Linked DNA regions of Canis lupus familiaris. The protein of the gene in region 2 interacts with the protein of the main gene of each other region in a pairwise test. Links are inferred from orthologs where the notes say so. Each region holds a gene or a part of one and is shown on either strand. Other genes may lie near its edges.

What was found. The genes of interacting proteins can lie anywhere in the genome.
Region 1: the proteins of CREB1 (region 2) and POGZ interact in a two-hybrid assay, tested with the Homo sapiens proteins (2 studies listed by BioGRID and IntAct). The link is inferred for Canis lupus familiaris from reciprocal best matches to the Homo sapiens genes CREB1 and POGZ.
Region 3: the proteins of CREB1 (region 2) and TSSK4 interact in binary tests that used the Homo sapiens proteins (3 or more experiments, as listed by UniProt). The link is inferred for Canis lupus familiaris from reciprocal best matches to the Homo sapiens genes CREB1 and TSSK4.
Region 4: the proteins of CREB1 (region 2) and CRTC1 interact in binary tests that used the Homo sapiens proteins (3 or more experiments, as listed by UniProt). The link is inferred for Canis lupus familiaris from reciprocal best matches to the Homo sapiens genes CREB1 and CRTC1.

What each region holds. Positions count from the first base shown.
Region 1 is NC_049238.1:61,167,595-61,172,159, forward strand, and holds the start of POGZ (pogo transposable element with ZNF domain), read right to left. Parts: upstream 3,062-4,565; 5' UTR 2,881-3,061; intron 581-2,880; 5' UTR 470-580; intron 1-469. UniProt on the Homo sapiens protein: Plays a role in mitotic cell cycle progression and is involved in kinetochore assembly and mitotic sister chromatid cohesion.
Region 2 is NC_049258.1:15,805,123-15,809,244, reverse strand, and holds part of CREB1 (cyclic AMP-responsive element-binding protein 1), read right to left. Parts: exon of another isoform or gene 3,706-4,122; coding exon of another isoform or gene 3,632-3,705; intron 2,681-3,631; exon of another isoform or gene 2,579-2,680; intron 410-2,578; coding exon 263-409; intron 1-262.
Region 3 is NC_049229.1:4,315,649-4,320,521, reverse strand, and holds TSSK4 (testis-specific serine/threonine-protein kinase 4), read right to left. Parts: upstream 3,062-4,873; 5' UTR 2,798-3,061; coding exon 2,573-2,797; intron 2,244-2,572; coding exon of another isoform or gene 2,216-2,243; coding exon 2,001-2,215; intron 1,648-2,000; coding exon 1,254-1,647; intron 892-1,253; coding exon of another isoform or gene 819-891; coding exon 636-818; 3' UTR 181-635; downstream 1-180. UniProt on the Homo sapiens protein: Serine/threonine kinase which is involved in male germ cell development and in mature sperm function. May be involved in the Cre/Creb signaling pathway. Phosphorylates CREB1 on 'Ser-133' in vitro and can stimulate Cre/Creb pathway in cells.
Region 4 is NC_049241.1:44,800,389-44,805,280, reverse strand, and holds the start of CRTC1 (CREB-regulated transcription coactivator 1), read left to right. Parts: upstream 1-1,831; 5' UTR 1,832-1,889; coding exon 1,890-2,015; intron 2,016-4,892. UniProt on the Homo sapiens protein: Transcriptional coactivator for CREB1 which activates transcription through both consensus and variant cAMP response element (CRE) sites.

The DNA of each region.
Region 1 (4,565 bases), on a different chromosome or scaffold from region 2:
TTTTTTTTTTTTTTACATTTTTGCCTAAATTTAAGGTCTAGCTTAATAGAAAGCAGCTGGATTCTCATAGTGTTTATGCATTCAGTCTGTTGCTGTAGACTATCTGGCCTCACAGCAGGAAAAAGGAAAAGTATTCAAAAACCTTTTCAGACAGCTGTGTATATTGACACAATACTAAAACTCGACAAATGGTAGTTTCTTTTTTTTTTTTTAAGGTTTTTTTATTTATTCATGGGAGACACAGAGAGAGGTAGAGACATAGAGGGAGAAGCAAGCTCCTCACAGGGATCTCGATGTGGGACTCGATCCTTAAACTGGGATCATGCCCTGAGCCAAAGGCAGATGCTCAACCACTGAGCCACCCAGGCGTCCCCAAATGGTAGTTTCTTAAAGAAGAGTTGCATCTTGGAATCTGAATCCCTATCAATGAACTTTTCATATTTTATTACATTAAAATCCACTAGTGTACCTTGCATTCTGAAAGGATATTTACTTATGATGATTGTGAAATATCAGCATTGGTTGCTTGGAAAATATAGATTTACTGCGATGCCCATCCTCCAAATGTTGACATATTTCACTACAAATATAAATATAGAAAATATTTAAACTGTTAAACCTGAGATGTCAACTTTTGACAAATTCTAATTTTCACTCTCAAATTTTTATCATTGGTAACAAATACTGTCAATTGTTTCCTCAAAATAACATGCTCGCCTCGTTGTCAAGAAAATATAAGCGCAACCTTAAAGTGTGAAAAACTGTAGTTTGTCAGTTCTTTCAAGTGAAAATGCTGTTCCATGAAACAAGCAGCTCATAACTCAATCTCACAAGCGCTTTTCCTTATGAGAAGGACCGTACCTCCTTAGTCAGCAAAGTACTTTATGCATCCTTCCTATTCGATCAAAGATTCTTAAAACTTAAAAAAACCATGTACCCAAGGGTTGAGATTTAACAAAAATCATTTCTACTGTTTCATCAAGGCCATTTTCACACGGTGTTTCGTGTAACTGCCTTGCTTTGTGCTAACGGACCACCAGTTTTACTCAGCTTTGCTTTTTGGACCATCAGTGCAAATGTCACTGGAAGAAAGATAAATAGTGTCTTAGTATTTTCTACTTTGAAAATAGTTATGACCTCTCAGGTCCCCTGGAAGGCTCTGAATGATCCCCAGAGGTCAGTGGGTCACCTTTTCCAAGATTATATCACTGGTTCAAGGTTGGGGTGGAAACGAACAAAATCCTGTTCATCCCAAGAGTCTTCATCTTCTTAGTTCCTTTAGTTTGAGATACATCACCAACGTGACCGGTGTGTCATAACCGTAGTATAAGGGGAAGGAAATCAAGGACGTAATTTGCCATGAAATTGTTTTAAGATTGTATTTTGAGCACTTTTACGCTAAATCAACAGTTCTTTATGTGGCGGTTAAAATTTAGAGAAGATAGCACCACACACACCCTCCCCTTCCCACCTGAAAAGACTTGAGGACGAAGCCCCTAACACAGCACTTTCAGCAACCTCCAAGGTACTTTTTAGCTATCCCGAACTTAAAGATCTAGAGAACGAGTTCGAATTCAGAGTCCAACTCCCGGTCCCAAGAACAACACATCATGGTCTGGAAATTCAATGTTGTTCACCAAGGAGCAGCCCTCTCTGCCCCGCTCTTTCCCCTCCAACTAGATGGGGAAACTCCTTTGAAAGTAAAACTCCATTTCTGCAGGGTTTTGAACTGCAGTGGGAGGTGTCTAGAATGTAGAAGGCTGAGCTACAACCCGCAACAAGGTGGTGGTTCTGAGATGGTAAAATTGTCTTCCCGTGTGCATCTCAGAGAGGAGATGGGGCCAACTGACTTCCAAGCCTCTTCCCATCTCTTTTTCTGGGCTAAAGAAGGCCCAAGACAAGTGAGCTGAGCTATGTCCACAGTTAGGAACAGCGTGGAGGAATCCCGCGTCTGGCGGGAGAGGAAAACAGGGTCAGTGGCAGAAAGGAGGGGAGGCAGGTGGATCAACGACATCAGTCCTCCCCAGGAGGTGCTGAGAATCTAGACAAAATAGTCCCCGGGAGGAACATGGCGCCCACCGCGGCAGGATATAATCAGCCGAAAGAAAGGTTTTCCGCCCCATTCCATTTTACAAATCACGGCGCCAACGCAGAGAAATTTTAGGGCCAAGGGAGGAGACTTGGTAAACTAACTGCAGCGCACTACGGCTTGGGAGGTACTAGTGGACCGAGCGGCGATTACGTAACACAAGGGAGCGGCACAGCGACCCCTCATTTTCCTCCTCGCGCCCGAACAGCGCCCCAGTCCTAGGGAGGCGGGAGGGCGCGGCGGGAGAAGCGAGCGCTCCCCCCGGGACGTCACCTCGGCGCGGCCTCGCCCCCCGCCCGCCGACTCGCAGCCGCCCGCCCCCTCCCCCTCCCCCTCCCCCTCCCCGCGGGCCACCGCCCGCCGCCCGCCCACTCCTCCGAGACGCCTCGCGCCCGGCGTGCGTGTGGACGTCGGTGTGTGCGGGGCCGTGGGGCGCGAGTGCGCGCGCGCGCGCCGCGGAGGACGCCGGGGGGCGGGGGCGGGCGGCAGGCAGGCAGGCAGGCAGGCAGGGTCCGCCCGGCCCAGACCGTCGCGCGGCTCCCGAGCTCCCGCGGCTCCGGGGGCGCACGCGCTCGCGAGCCGCGCCCCATGCCCGCCGCCGCCGCCCGGGCCGCGCTGCACTCGCGGGGAGCAGGGGCGCGCGCCACCGGGCCCCTGCCCCCACCCCCCGCGCCCCCGCCCCATCCCCCTCTCATTGTCTCGCCTCCGAGCGCCTCGCCGAGCGAAAAGATAACGGAACCCCCGGGAGAAGGGGGTGGGGAGAAAGAAGGCTCGCCCGCTCGCTTACTCACCTCCCGTGGTCGTCGCCGCCGGTAGTCTGACCCGAGGAAGGCGCCGTCGCCTTAAAGGGACCTCGCACCCGGCGCCGGGAGAAGGGGGTGGGAGCAGGGGAGGGGACGGGGGCTTGGGGAGACGGCTGAGAGGGAACCGTGGAGAGCGCGTCTCCCCGCGGGGGAAAGGAAACCTCCCTCGGGTTCCAGTGACTTGGGGTGGATTTTTTTCCCGAGGGGGGCGGGGGGGCCCCGAGGGAGGGGGTGGGGGGGCCAAGGAATGCGGCTCCGTGTACGGGAGCTGGCGCGGGGGAGAGAGACGCCGACTCCCCCCACCGACCCTCTCGCTCCGCGGAGGGATACGTCTCGTCACTTCCGCCCTCCCCCTCTCGTGGCCTCGCAATTGGCTGCGGCGTGGGACACGTCATGGGCTCATCCTAACCCCTGCCCGGGCTTCTTTTCCAGTCAAGTTTGTCTGGACCTGCAAATAAATAAATAAATAAATAAATAAATAAATAAAAAACATTTAAGAAAAATGAAATAAGAATAATTAGCTTCAGAAGCAACAGCTAAATCTTGATGAGGAAAATGGAATTTCCAAGGAAAATAGTGCCCAATTCACTTGCCTGGACTTTCCAAAGAAATTTTGGGCACCTCCTCACTTTCCACTCAAGTCTTGTACCTAACCAAGAGGAGAACCTCATGCCACAGGCCAGGTGGTGAGACCCAATGGCACCAACAACTGTCCTTGGAACAAAGGCAGCAGAATGGCACATACTCTTCATCAGGAGGCATTTGGCCAAGTAGCCTTGTGGCAGTAGTCTTAAGTGAAGAACTTTTAAAAGCTATTTTTACTCTGAACCCTACTGGATTCTGGAAATAAATCACATATATTGCTTATCAAAGTGACTCATGTATGGAAACTGCTTTGAAGCCGTTTGTCAATAGACTCGGCACAAATCCTCAATTCTAAGAAACCATAGATTCTACATCTGTGCTTTTTGCTCCGATCAAGGCTGAGGGGGATTGGCTCAAAGAAAGGAGTCTATTCAAGACCAGCCACCTGTAATTTTTCCCCGAACAAGAAGTACCTCTTTTCCAGGTATCTAAGAAATTTAGTCCTTTTTTTACTTTCAGAGATGATAATATTGTAAAATTTTCCTTGGATATGTGAGTATGTTGTTGCTCTCTAAGCAATACACAAATATTTACTCCAAGCCAATGTAGATCAAAGTACTTTGTGCAAGATTGGGGAGAATCAGAACCATATTTATTCATTTTTTTATATATGTGCACTTTATTCAACCACCAGACTGAAAATAGGCGATGGAATTAGGCATTACAAATTGCTCCCTCATGCACCTGTGTGTACACAATGCCGTCCATTTTCATTCCACTTCATCTCATTTCATACTAAGTACATGTGAATGATCTCAAAGTGTCATTTTTAGCAAGAACTTTATTATTTGGATTGAAAAAAAAATCACCAATCCTTCCAAAAATACTTCTGAAGCCTTTCCAGACCTGATCTAGAAAAGCCTAAGATGGGATTATGGAATCAATCACCAGAAGACAAATTCTACAAGAAGCTCAAATCCTATTTTATACTTTCCTACTATAATTATAATTCATTATAAAGTTATTTGCCTCTGAAATATTCTTGTTGAAATGTATTTTCCCATGCTGAAAGTGCCAACTTATGCTCT
Region 2 (4,122 bases):
CTTTATCCCATGGACTTAATGATTTTCCCCAATCAACTCTTTTTCTTCTGTAGCTTAAGAAAAAGTCTTTTTCTTATATCTGTTCTTGTGTACATATGTACCTATACATAAGGTGACTATACAGACGCAGCATAATCCTTTACTGTAAAGCAAAATAAACTCTGAACTAGGTATGTTCCTATTTCCATAACTAATGAAAGGAGAGAGATATGGCTATAAACGACAGTTATGAAAGTAGATGCAGAACTTTTTATACACATACCTGAACTGTCTGGACTTGTGGAGACTGAATAACTGATGGCTGGGCCGCCTGAATAACGCCATGGACTTGAACTGTCTGCCCATTGGGCAGCTGTACTAAAGTTACGGTGGGAGCAGATGATGTTGCATGAGCTGCTGGCATAGATACCTATGGTGTTGAACATGGAAAAAAATTACCATCACAGATACCTCCTTAAGAGTAGTCATGTTCAATATGAAGCAACGTTTTTAGCAGGAAAAAGATGACTTTTCTGCTAGACAAGTATTTCATTGGTGTGAAAGAAACTAATGATTAAATTTAATATTCTCAAAAAAAGAAGAAAAAAAAAAGACTATAAATGCCCCTCCCTTTCAAATCCTTTTATGTGACAAAAACTATTTTAATGTAATATCAAAATGTATAACACAGACTTCCTCTGATTACTAAGTACACTTTAATTGTATGGTGCTTTATATTTTCCTACCTGCTTTCATATCCGGTTTCTCATTTTGCTCTTCGAAGAAATCAAGACTGTATTATAATAAGGATTATCTCCATTTTAGAGACAGAGTATCAAGTGCTCAAGAGATTAAATAACTTACCCAAGGTCAAGAGATATGCTAGCTTGAAGAAATATAAATGTCTTCAGGATATTATTATGTGTTAAGTTACTCATATTCTAAAATATAAATGTTCTCCAACTTAGCCAAAACTTAACTGTTTAGAACAAATACACGTCTTGAAATATACAGCATAGTTTTCTCTTTTAAACTAATTACAAGTATGCCTTTATTAGTGAGAAAGTGTTAATATGTATTATAAACTGACAATTTCTACCCGCCCCCCCAATCAAACTTATATAACAGTTGTATTTTAAGGATTTGTTTTCTCCTGGAAGGAATAAAAGAGCAGACTTCAGGGAATATAAGAAATATTACTTTCTCCTGAGGCACAAAGAAGGCAATTTTAGTGAGTCTATATCCAGGTCCAAATGGCTGTTATGTCATATGTCTATCCGATGGTATTTATTGTTCCTGCTTGAACACACTCAGGGGTTCAACATTTTTTGCTCATTCGGTAAACAGTGATTGGGGACCCACATGCTAGGAGCAATGTCAGAACTGAAACTATAAACATGAAGGAAATTATTGGGGTACATGTGTGAAGGAAGGGAGAAAAAGAACACAAATAAATATAATCCAGTGAAGTAATGAGACTTGCCAGGAGAAAAATGAACACACTGAGGAAAGCTACCCAACCTCACCTAAGAGGAAGGGAGGGCAAAATAAGAATTTGAAACAAAGAATACAGATTAGGCTGTATTTTGACTCCTAGGGGAGAGCCACAAAATTTCAGGGAAGGAGGGATGAGTAACAGTCAGTACTACTGGACCACATAAGGGTATTACTATATGAATTATACACTGGGGCAAGATAATACTGTAACAAGTAGGGCAGGATTGAATGAGCTAGTCATGAAAAACCGTATCTATGTCACATTAAAGAAGTTGCACTTTATCCTGAGGAGACTGAGAAAGGCAGTGAAGGGCTTTTGAACTCTGGAATATCATGGTGAGATTTGCATTTCAAATAGATCACTTCAGTGGCAGTATGAAAAACATTTATTTAAGAGAAAGAAAAATGTGGAGAAGAGGAGACTTAGGAGAAAACTTACATAGTAGTTAAGGTGAAATGATGAAGCCAGAAATAAAGCACTAGTTGTGATGGGGGGAAAATGAGAGAAGTGATTTAATGAAAATTCAGGAGGCAGACTAGAAAGGATATTATGAATGACTGCTTGAAGGAGGTCAGAGAGGAATCCAGGATGACCCATATATTTCATGTTTGTGTAAGAATTGGTAAACTATGCCATCAACCAAAACCAAGAACACAAGAAGTAAGGAGAAGCTTTTGCGTGGCTGGGGTGAAGGTGGATGGTGGAACTGATCTGATATCTGAATCTGTTCAGCAGGTAGTTAAACATCTGACTGTGAAGCTTGGGGGCGGAGGGTTGGGGGGAAGATCCTTATTGAAAGCTGATGTTAAAACTAGAAGCATCCATCTTTGGGTAGTTACGAAGTCCCTCCTTATTAATCATTTTCTCTCTGGCCACTATAAATCTTGCTTAGTTTTATCTGGTTCTCAAAATGTAGTTCATGGACTACCTCCATTACCTGTTTATAAAGTCGGACTCTCCTGGCAAAGCTAAGGACACCTTCCCCTACACTAAAGTCTGAGAATGACAACATTAAGTTACTCAGAGTATCTACTCTTACTTCCATACAAAAGCTCTTCTGATAGTTCAAGCATTTATTATATCCTCTTCTCTATTTTATAGAACAAATGTGAGAAGCTAACTCAGTTAATCCCTTTTCTACCCTGATCATTCTACATAACAGCTCCTAACACTGTAATTTTATAAACGGTACAGATATACAAGGTAAGATAAAAATTCCTTATATTCCTACCACTAATCACTGTTAATATTTTTGCTGTAGATGTAGGTGTTTTGCAAGGTGCATATATGCACTCAATTTTTATACACTATCATGGAATCTAATTTATCTTTTGAATCCATTATAAACCTCTCTCCATACCACTAACAATTTTCTTCAGTGGTTTTAATGGCTGCATAATAAAAATTACATACTTTTGTTTAATAAATTCCATTTTTTGGATATTTAGGTTTTCATATTTGCCTATTAGAAAAAGTTGGAATGATCACCCTTTTACCTCTATAGTTAAATCCATAAAAATTTACAGTCTCTTATTCAAAACCATTATTTTTTTTCCTTCCCACTTAAAAAAAAAAAAATTCCGTAGGGGCATCTTGTGGCTCAGTCAGTTAAGCATATGACCCTTGAACTCAGCTCAGGTCTTGATCTCCAGGTTGTGAGTTCAAGCCCCGCACTTAAAACAAACAAAACAAAACAAAACAAAAAAAACTTCTGTAAATTCCAAATGCAAAATGAGGCATTTTGCATTATTGTTTTAGATTGGTTATCTTCCTTTACTAGTTGGGCTGAATTTTTTTCTGTTCATTGTTCAAATCACTACAATCTTAAGATTTGACAATTTTATTATTTTTTTTAGTATTAAATACTGACAACCAAAAAATACCAGCTATCAAAATTATGATAGGAAATTATGACAAAAATGTAAAATGTGTACGGTAAGGACTTGGATGAGCAAGTGAAAAAATTCTGTAATTAGGAATAAAAAGAACAAAAACTATATAAATGGGAATAGAAAACTAGCTTTTCTATAACTCAAACAACATGTCATTGTTCTTGGACTGCCTAATAAAGATGACAGATTAAACATGTGTATATTATTTTGCTCCTTTCTGAATCTCCAATTAAATTTCATAAAATTGATTTTGTTTTTACAGGTCCAATCACATGAGCAAAGAGTGGGAAAAGAGATGAGAGTAATAGTTTTGGATGCTGGGAAGACGGATGAATGGTAATGGACTTTGAAGATCTCAAAAGGCCAACTCATGATGTAGAGGCAAGGAAAGCCTGATTTGCACCATAAAATCCTTAAGAGGCTCAGTATCTAAGACACCTTGGAAGGTGGAGTAAAGAGAGAGGCTGAGAAAATAAGGCTAGTTAAAGGTTCTTTGAGAAGCAACTGGATCCCCTCCCCACGCTCCTTGAAGAAGAGTAATTAATCTACCCCATGCTGACAGAAAAACGGAGATTTAATTTCTGGACAGTGGTCTCCTGACTGCCTATACCAAACACTGCTGACAGTGGAGTTACTAACCTCCAGTCTTCTCTCTCTTAGCTCCCAGGCCTTTCCCCTAAGCAAGGGATTAGGAAGGCCTTCCCTCAGGAACCTAACCAATGACAAGGGGCTAAATTAAACAGACTTAAAAGA
Region 3 (4,873 bases), on a different chromosome or scaffold from region 2:
CAGGGCTCCATCCAACGACCCTGAGCTTTTGAGCTCAGGACACTCAACCACCTGCGCCACCCATGCGCCCTTGTCGTTTGTTTCTAAGAGCACTAATTGAGGGGCCATGATTCACTGGGGTTTTTTCAATAGTAAAACAACTACTTGGAGGAGGGAGCAGGAACCAAGATACATCACACATCTTGATACCCCTGATATTTGTTCTTCAAAGAGAATATTGCCATCCCTTTGGACAGTAAACAGAGATAGAGCCATAACCAAACAGCAGCCAGGGCCTCTACCCCCCTACTTGAACATTTAGAATGCACACAGATACAAAATAGTGAGCATTTCCTTAGCCAGAATAATGAAGCTTCCCAAAAGTGGGCATTCATCCCAGCACCCTCTCTCCCATGAGCAGCATATGTGCTACATTGTGAATTACCAAGTGGACTTCACAGGTGCCAATATGGCTGGTTCCAGACTGGTTAGAAATCCACCTCTTACCCTCAGTAGTGTTTCTTGCTAAGGTTCCCCTGAGGAAAGAATGTCTTTGACCCCAGCTAGTAAAACTAAATCAGAAATAGATTTATAGATTTTTAGCCCCAGACCCTCCCGCTTTGCTCCTCTCTCAACCCCCTTTCAACCAACCACTTTTAGGTGTTGATTTCCAAGGATTGGTGCCGATTAGGGGTGCTGGGGGGTTGGCACATGGCTTCAAGCAGCCTGATCTCATGGGTGGGTTGCTCAGGCTGGAACTTGAGCACCCAAGGATCCTTGATGATGTCCAGGATGGTGGCACGCTTGGTGGCTTGGCATAGTGTCTGAAGGACCAGATTCTAGGGCAGAGGAGAGAGAGGTCTTGGCTGAGCTTGCCCCCCATTGTGCCACACAGGCAACTAGCTGTTGGACCTGAGAGAGAAGCAAGATAGCCCATCACACCACTCTGGTGAAAGGGGGTATGGCCCTGATTTTATCTTGAAGAGCCTGGCATTTATCTCCTTGGAGGAGAAGGGAAGGAAGGGTTCCCTGGGGGAAAACCCTTACATAATCCCCTCCTGGCCTAAAGAGACAAGAGGCTGAAACCTGCTTATCCCTCACACGCCCAGGGGTAGCCCTTTAACTCCCTCCCCAGCAACTACTCTAGGGTAGGGGCTCAAGTGTGAGATTGCTCTGGTGGGGAAGAGCTTCCCCCAGGGTGGGGACGCCTAGGATGGGTATTCCCTCCCTGTAGGTTATCCCCAAGGCCTCAGCCCGCCTGGGGGAGCCAGCACCTTGCACTCCTGAGAGATGGAGTAGTTAGATGGAAAAGTGACCTCCTTTTGAGTCTCTTTCAGCAGCTTCTTGAGATTGGTGTCATCAAAGGGCAGCCGGGCGACCACTAGAGTGTAGAGGATGACGCCCATGCTCCAGGTGTCAGACAGGAAAGGGTTGTAGGGCAAGCCCAGCAAGATCTCCGGGCATGCGTAAGCAAAGCTGCCACAGTAGGTCTGGCTGAGGTGCGTAAAGCAGTTCATTTGGCGGTAAGAAGGGCTACTATGCATTCTCTGGTTAGAAGGCACCATCTTGGCGAAGCCAAAGTCTGAGATCTTCACGTTCTCCCGCTTGTCCAGCAACAGGTTCTCCAACTTTAAGTCCCTACCAGCAGCAGAAAGGCTGGGGGTCAGGCTGGGAAGAGGGCTCAGTATTAGACCGGGAGCTGAAGGGCCAGGGGTCAGAGGCTAGAGGTGGAAAGGCAGAGTGGGAGAGAGGCACGGTCATGAGGACACAAGGTAGAGAGGGAGGAGCCGCGGAGTTGTGAGCAGAGCCGCGAGGTGAGAGAGGAGGGTACCTGAGGACCACTGGGGCTCATCATTGTACTTCATAGAGTGCCGTGCTCACAGAGGGCGCTACATAAACATTCTTGAGCAAAGCATTACAATAGAGGGGATGAATAGGCCTAGATAACCGAGGAAGGTTGAGGGAGGGGAAAAAAAAGGGAAGAAAATGGGAGACCCCAGCCTGGGTGGCCGTGCCCTCACCGGTGCACGATGCCCTTGCTGTGCAGGTAGGCGATGCCCAGGGTCATCTGGGAGAACCACTTGCCAGCAAGGGGCTCAGAGCAAGCCCCGTACCGCTGGATCCACTCGAGGACATCACCACCCTGAGCCAGCTCCAGAATGATGTATACTCGGGATGTGGTTTCAATGGCCTGATAGAAGTTGATGAGGTACTTGTGCCGCAGGACCTTCATTACCTGGCCCCAGAAGAGGGATCCATCAAACCTAGGAAGGGAGAACCCTGGCTGTGCTCCCAGCCCTCCTGCCATCCCACTGCTAACCTACTTAGAACCATGCAAAAGGATTAAATTCCAGAGAGCTGGTGGGCTGTGGGTGAACCCTATGCTTTGGACTTTTACTTTGTGAGGGCCTGTGGGTGAATGGAAAGAGGTTGAATTTACATGGAGTCCTTTTCCTGCTGCTCAGTAAGACATTCAGCCCTGATTGTGGGGGAGGGAACAGGTGTGCTGGCTCCTCCCCTTCCTGACCCTACCCTCTTCTGAGAAGTCTTTAGCAACTCAGTATGAGTTCCCTCTTCCAGCCCCCTTTCCAACCTGTATCTCACGGGGCAGGAACTTGTTAAGATAGTCCTCAGAGGCCTTCTTCTTTGAGATGATCTTGACAGCCACCATGACCTTTTGCTTTGTGTAGTAAGCTTCGTACACCGTCCCATAGGAGCCATTGCCAATGACCTTGCCCATCTCGTAACCGTACTCCTCCATTACAGAGCGGTAGGCAGAGGGGGTTGGTGCTATCTCCAAGGTGTCTCCCTTCCCCATGGTGTCAGGCTTGCTGAGAGCAGGGAACTTTGCTACTTAAAAGCCTATTTATCTGCTCAGAAAGCCAACCTTGAGCTACTGAGGGCTAGGATACCAAAGTAAAGTTAGTCTCCAAATGCTTGCCTATATAGTCACGCGAGTCTGGGGTGCTGAGCTCAACTCTCCACTAGGAACGTGGAGGGGGATGAAGGGAGCAGCAGTTCTTTTTTGTTCCCACTAGCTGTTGTTACTTCTTTCTCCCCCTGGTTACGGAACTCCCAAGGTCCTGTGTTCCATATACCTCACAATTCACCTTCTTTGTGCCCCTGGCCATGAGGCTTGAGAATGAAGTGCACTGTGGAATATATTCCTGGAGGCAACCTCTGCAACCTGGTGAGATGCCCGCCCCCCTGCCCCGGCCAAGATCTAGTCCCTTCAACCATCCACGTTTATGGAACACCCACTGTGTGCCAGGCAGTGTGCGAGTACTGGGCCAAAATAGCCCATAACGCCAACAGAGACCCTCTGCTCCTAGAGTGTATTCTCCAGCATGAGAAACACGTGTGAGGATATTACAGAGACTTACAAGGTGTTGGAGAAGCCTATTCTAAGGAATCTTAACCTTAAGTGATTTTTTTTTGTTTTTTGTTTTTTTTTTGGCTTAAAGCAACCGCCTTTTTTCTTTTTTTCTTTTGCAAGTTGAGGTGGGCTCAGTGGCTGGTTCTTCTGGTGGCCTCATCTTAATTGGGATGGCTTGTTTCTGCTGTATATGGTCTCACTATCCAGGGGACTAGCCAGAGTTCTTTGACATAATAGCACTGAATTTTAAGAGGAAAAAAAAAGAGAAATTGCATGGTCACGTGAAGCCTAGACTCCAAAGTTGCAAAACCTCACTTCTACACCTTTATACAAGTAAAGACAGTTACAGGGTTACAAGGATCTCTCAGATCGAAGGGGTGTAATAGACTCCACCTGTGAACCCTGAAATGCATTCTTGTCTTGCTTTCCATGACCCTAAGTTCTATAGTTTTACTCCTATCCTTCTAGCCATTCCTCAGACTTCCCTGGAGCCTTATCTTCTTTATCTATCCCTCCATCATATCCTGAAGGTTCTACCACAGGCCTTATTTCCTCAAAGCTTTATGTCCTCCCATTAGGATCTCACCCATTCCCAACATTACATCAATGCTGACTGCTCCTAATCTCATCTCTATCCCAGATGTCCCCTGGAGTTCCAGCACCAGTTGCTCACTGGACAGCACATGGACATGTCTTCCCCAAGTATCTTAAACTCACCCTGTCCAAAACTGAACTCTTTAGGTTCTTGCTCTAGACTTTCTCTGTTAAGTTCTATACTCATTGCTTCAATTTACACACCCAGGTGTCATCCTAGACCCTTCTGTCTGCCTTAGCCCCTACATCCAATCTGTCACCTCTTCTCCCTCCTAATTATCTTTCATAATACATTCTGGGATCTCGGAGCAGCTGCCACTGTCTTAGGTCAAACCTCCATCAACCGATCACTCTAGCAAGCTTTCTGCTCCCCTCAGGTCTTCACCCTGAACTCCAAGGCATAACACTGGTTTTATTCCCACCTAAAACAATTCATTGCCTCCCCTTTCTCCTCAGGATCAAGTCCAAATTCTTTTTTTTTTTTTAAACCAGAACATTTATTTTGACTAATCGTTGAAATCCTTAAGATGAACTGGATGCTGCAACAGCTGCCCTCTTGGGCTTAGGTGTCGTTCCTTCACAGAATCCATGCCTGAATCTGCGGTATACAATTTTTAGGTGCTTCATTCTACCAGTCCCAGTGGTATTTCGTTTTTTAGCCTTGGCACTCCCAGTTATACTTTCTCTTCCGCTTGGCAGGGTAGCCACACTTGCCACAGGTGGACTTCTAAAGGTGGCAGGCCTTAGAGCCATAGTGGCGGCACGACGTGTGCGTCTTATTGCGACGCTTTCCAAACGATGATGTCCCCTTCGTCATCTTGTTTCCACGGCCGACCCCAAAGAAAAGCCCAAATTCTTTTATATGGCTTCAACATCTCTCCAGTTTTATCTCTTAACATACATGTAATGCTCCAGCCAAACAGA
Region 4 (4,892 bases), on a different chromosome or scaffold from region 2:
ACTGTTGTAAAGTGTAAACAAAAAGCACGTTCATAAAATACTGGTGTCTCCCTATGATCACCACAAGCAACCCCTCTAGCCATCCCCTCACCCTAGTAAAAACTGCTCTTTTTAAAAACCAATCTTTCAGGACACCTGGGTGGCTCCAGTGGTTGAGCATCTGCCTTTGGCTCAGGGTAAATCCCAGGGTCCTGGGATCAAGTCCGGAGTCAGGCTCCCCAGAGGGAGCCTGCTTCCTCTGCCTATGTCTCTGCTTCTCTCTGTGTCTCTCATGAATAAATAAAATCTTTTTTAAAAATTTAAAAATAAATTTTTCGGGATCCCTGGATGGCTCAGCAGTTTAGCGCCGCCTTCAGCCCAGAGCGTGATCCTGGGGTCCCGGTATCAAGTCCCACGTCAGGTTCCCCGCATGGGAGCCTGTGTCTGTGTCTCTGCCTCTCTCTCTCTCTGTCTCTCATGAATAAATAAATAAATAAAATATTTAAAAAATAAAAATCAATTTTTCTTTTCTCTTTGCTTCTTTCTTTTAAGTGTGGTTTTTGTGCAATTAGAGCTATCGCACATTCCCCTGGCTGCTGCTCTTGGCTCCCACCCTGTCCATGCCTAGAAACCCCTGAAGCCTCCTGAATATAAACCAATATTTGATATTGGTGGTCATGGTCCCTCTGCTTGGGAAGGGAGAGTTAGATGTCAGAACGTTTCTTGTTTCCCTGGTTCACCCTCCTGCCACTGGGAAGACCCTGCTATCCTTCTCACTGTGGGATGTAGTCTAGGTGGGACTTCTGGGCTCCCCATGGCAAACCTATGTTCCTTCAGGATTAAGAGTCCAGAGAGTAGAAACTGGTCGAATGTAAGGTGATAGGGAAAGCAAGATGTTAAAGATGATCCCTATTTTTTTTTTTAAGATTTTATCCATTTATTCATGAGAGACAGAGAGGAGACAGAGACATAGGCAGAGAGAGAAGCAGGCTCCCTGCGAGGATTCCGATGTGAGACTCGATCCCAGGAGCCTGGGATCACGCCCTGAGCCCAAGGAAGATGCTCAACCACAACCACCCAGGCGGCTCGATGCCTGGGATTTTGGGCTGTGGAGGCTGCTGGCAAGGTTCAGGTCTCAGTTCAAATGCCTCCCTACTTCCCTGACAGTGGTGGCTGGGAGCCTCCCTTCCTATCATCAATATCCTGCCAGTCCATTACTAGTTTTATTTTCCACATCACAATTATCTCCATCAGAAATGTTCTTGGGTCATCTGTTGGTTGCTTATGTTTGTCCCCCCTCCCTAACTGCGCACCCCATCAGGTCAGGGACCACATCTGCTTGCTCACGCCTTTTCCCCAGTGTTTCTGGCACATACTGGCGCTCAATAAATATTCGTTGAATGAATGAATGCATGAATGAGCAACTCCCTGGACTGGTTGGTCTCAAACAGTCCTAGTCCCGGCTCAGCATCGGGGTGCTACCTGTCCTTGTGGGTTGCTGGCCCCATCCTTGTAAACTGGAAGGTTTTGGGTCCGGCAGTCTCCTTGGGGGCTCCGGCGCCCCAGCCGGTCCGCGAACCATGCTTGTCCAACAGCCAGGCGGCCGCTGTCCAGCGGGCCAGGAGTCTACTCACTACGCATGTGCCCAAAACCTACTCTCGCTCCCACCTCCCGCCCCTCGCCTCCCGCCTCCTCTGCTGGACCCAAACGCGCCCCTGAGACGTGCGCATGCGCAGTCGCCCCCGCGCCGCGCGCCGCTCCCGTACGCCTGCGCCGCACTCACGACCACCAACGCGCCTGCGCACTGCCCGCCGCCCGCGGGCCCGGCCGGCGCTTGCGCGGTGGCACTGGCGAGTGGGGGGGGGTGAGGAGGTGGAGGAGGAGGAGGAGGAGGAGGCGGCGGCGAGAAGATGGCGACTTCGAACAATCCGCGGAAATTCAGCGAGAAGATCGCGCTGCACAACCAGAAGCAGGCAGAGGAGACAGCGGCCTTCGAGGAGGTCATGAAGGACCTGAGCCTGACGCGGGCCGCGCGGGTAAGGGGGCTGTCCGCGCCGACCCTTCGGGGCCGGGAAGAGAGGGAGGGGGCGCGTGTCCGGCGTGTGCACGGGGCGGGGGGCGCGCGGCGGGGGCGGGGCGCGTGCGGCGGGGCGGGGCTTGGCACAGCCGGAGGGTACAGGTGTCCCTACGCCCCGGACATCGTGGGCGGGAAAGGTGCCCCCACATCACCGGTACCTGAAAGGGTTCAGGTGCCCCCACATCATTGCTACCTGGAGGTGGGGATAGGTGTCACTACATCATTATTATCCGGAGAGGACGGTGGCCTCTACATCATTACTACCTGGAGGGAATAGGTGCCAGCCACCACATCACTGTACCTGAGGAGGGACAGGTGTCTCTATATCCCTTCTACCTGAAGGGGTCACATGCCTCCATATCACTGCTACCTAGGGGAGACAGGATGGCACTGTGAGGTGTATGAACTGGGCGCTGCTTGTAAGCATCATTGTTGCCTGGGGAGGGGGATAGGTGTTTCCATATCGTTGGTACCTGGTGCAGGACAAGTGCCCCCACATCACTGAGATCTGAGGGGAACAGCTGTCCCCACATCATTGCTATCTGAAGGGACAGGTTCTTTCTACATCTTTGTCATCTGTGCCTTCACTCTCTGGGTGTTGGAGGAAGGACAGGTATCCCTATTTGCAGACTTGAGGTGGGATAGGTATTTCTCACTTTTGGATTATCTGAAGGAAAGTTTTGGTGTCGTCTCCTGTGGGAACCTGGGGGTGGTTAAGAAGGCAGATTGTTCTCCATCCTGGAGTTTGGAGTGGAAACTGCTACCCCTTCCTCAGGTAGCCCATATGGTGGGGACCAGGTGTGCTCCTCCCACTGAGATAAGGGACAGCTGGCCACGGATGGCTCCTGGTCTCTCAGGGACCAGGGTGGAGGGACAATTCTTCCTTAAGTTGCTGGGTGTGTTTGGCCTGCAGAGGCAGGCCAGGTTACCTGCTCACCTCGCCTGGGAAGCTACTGTTGGCCCCTAGAGGAGTGGGAGGCCTGGCCCTTCTCTGGGCCCAGCTCTCTGGCCACATGACTGCACTGAGGTACCAAGCTTCTCAGGCCTTAGTATCCTGTTTTGTCGAGTGTGTCTGGCAAGTCCTTGTGGGTCAAGGAGGAGAGCACGCTTTGCACAGGTGGCAGTAAGTCTCTGCTGCATTCCTATAGAGTGGTGGGACCCTCCCCCCTGTCCTGCATCTTAAGGCCTCAGGGAGGATTTGGATGGGAGCTGCAGACATGCATATGGCTGGTTTCTGGACTCTGCCTCTGATCTGACTGTTCTAGGCAGACATACCTCTGTGACAAGAGCCTCAGTCTCTAATTCTTCAGGTGCAATTTTCAAGTCAAACTCTTCTAATTACTCACCTGTTTCTCTGTGAGATCACGACCATATAGGCTAGAATGTGTATCTTCATTTCTGTGTGTTTGTTTGCCACATGTTGTTGGGGTGCTCACCATTGACCAGGTACTGCCTGTTCTTGCTCTAGCAGCTCATGTTTTTGCTTAGCATGTAGAGAAGGAGATGGTTGGTGATTGAATGAATGAAAGCAAGCAAAGCAAGCAAGTGAGCATGTACCTTGAGTGTTCCTATAAGTCAGGGCTTCTGAGGGCAGGAATGTCCACTTTATCTTGCCTCATGCAGAAGGTGTATGTAGTGTAACAGGAAGAAGGAGGTCATATTAGGTTGATGGCTGTCATCACGACTGGAGGTCTGGTTTCTGCATTGAGGTTGGAAATGTATTATTGTATTTAAAAAGATTTCTTTAAAATAACAGCTTTATTGAGATATAGTTTGTGTAACATATAATTCACCTGTTGAAAGTGTAAAAGCCAGTGGATTTTAGTATATTTACAGGGTTGTGCAACCATCGCCAGTGTCTAATTCCAGAACACTTTAATCACCCTCAAAAGAAATCCCATCCTCATGGGCAGTCACTCCCATTCTGCCCTCCCCTGGCCCATGGCAGCCACCAGTCTGCTTTCTGTGTCTATGGATTTACCTATTTTGCACGTTTCGTATACATGGGATCGTACAACATGTGACCTTTCGTGTCTGGCTTCTTTCACTCAGCATAATATTTTCAAGTTTCATCCACATTAGCATGTATCTAAGAATTTCATTGCCCTTTTTTTTTAAGATTTTATTTATTTATTCATAAGAGAGAGAGAGAAGCAGAGACACAGGCAGAGGGAGAAGCAGGTTCCATGCAGGGAGCCTGATGTGGGACTCGATCCCGGGTCTCCAGGATTACGCCCTGGGCCGAAGACAGGCACTAAACTGCTGAGCCACCCAGGGATCCCCATTTCATTGCTTTTAATAGCCAAGTAATACTCCATTGAATGCGTGGAGCACATTTGCTTATATGTCATCTATTGATGGAGTTAGAAAAGACTTGTAAAATATGCAGTCATTCTCTCAGTCCTGGTAACCATTCTCTGTTTCCTTCCTCCCTCTCTGTTACCTTCCTTTATACTGGGAGTTGGGCGTGACCCTGGGCGGAGGTGAGCTTACACTGGATCTCATGAGACAGAGCAGTGTTCCGTATCGGGGGCGATTCTGTCCTGCAGGGACATTGGGCAATGTCTGGAGACATTTTGGTTGTTTCGTCTGGGGGAGGGGGTGCTACTGGCATCTAGTGGGTAGAGAGCAGGGATGCTGCTCAACACCTCACGATTCATGGATGGCCCCCACCACAGAGAGTGATGCGGTCCTAAACGTCAGCAGTGCTGAGGCTAAAAACCCTTCAGTCTGGAGGAGATGTTGAGTGGGCAGGGGTACAAGCTTTGTACCTGGGCAGATAGAGTTCAGAGCTCTGCACCCACTTGTATGGCTGTGGCATCTTGGATGGGCTGGT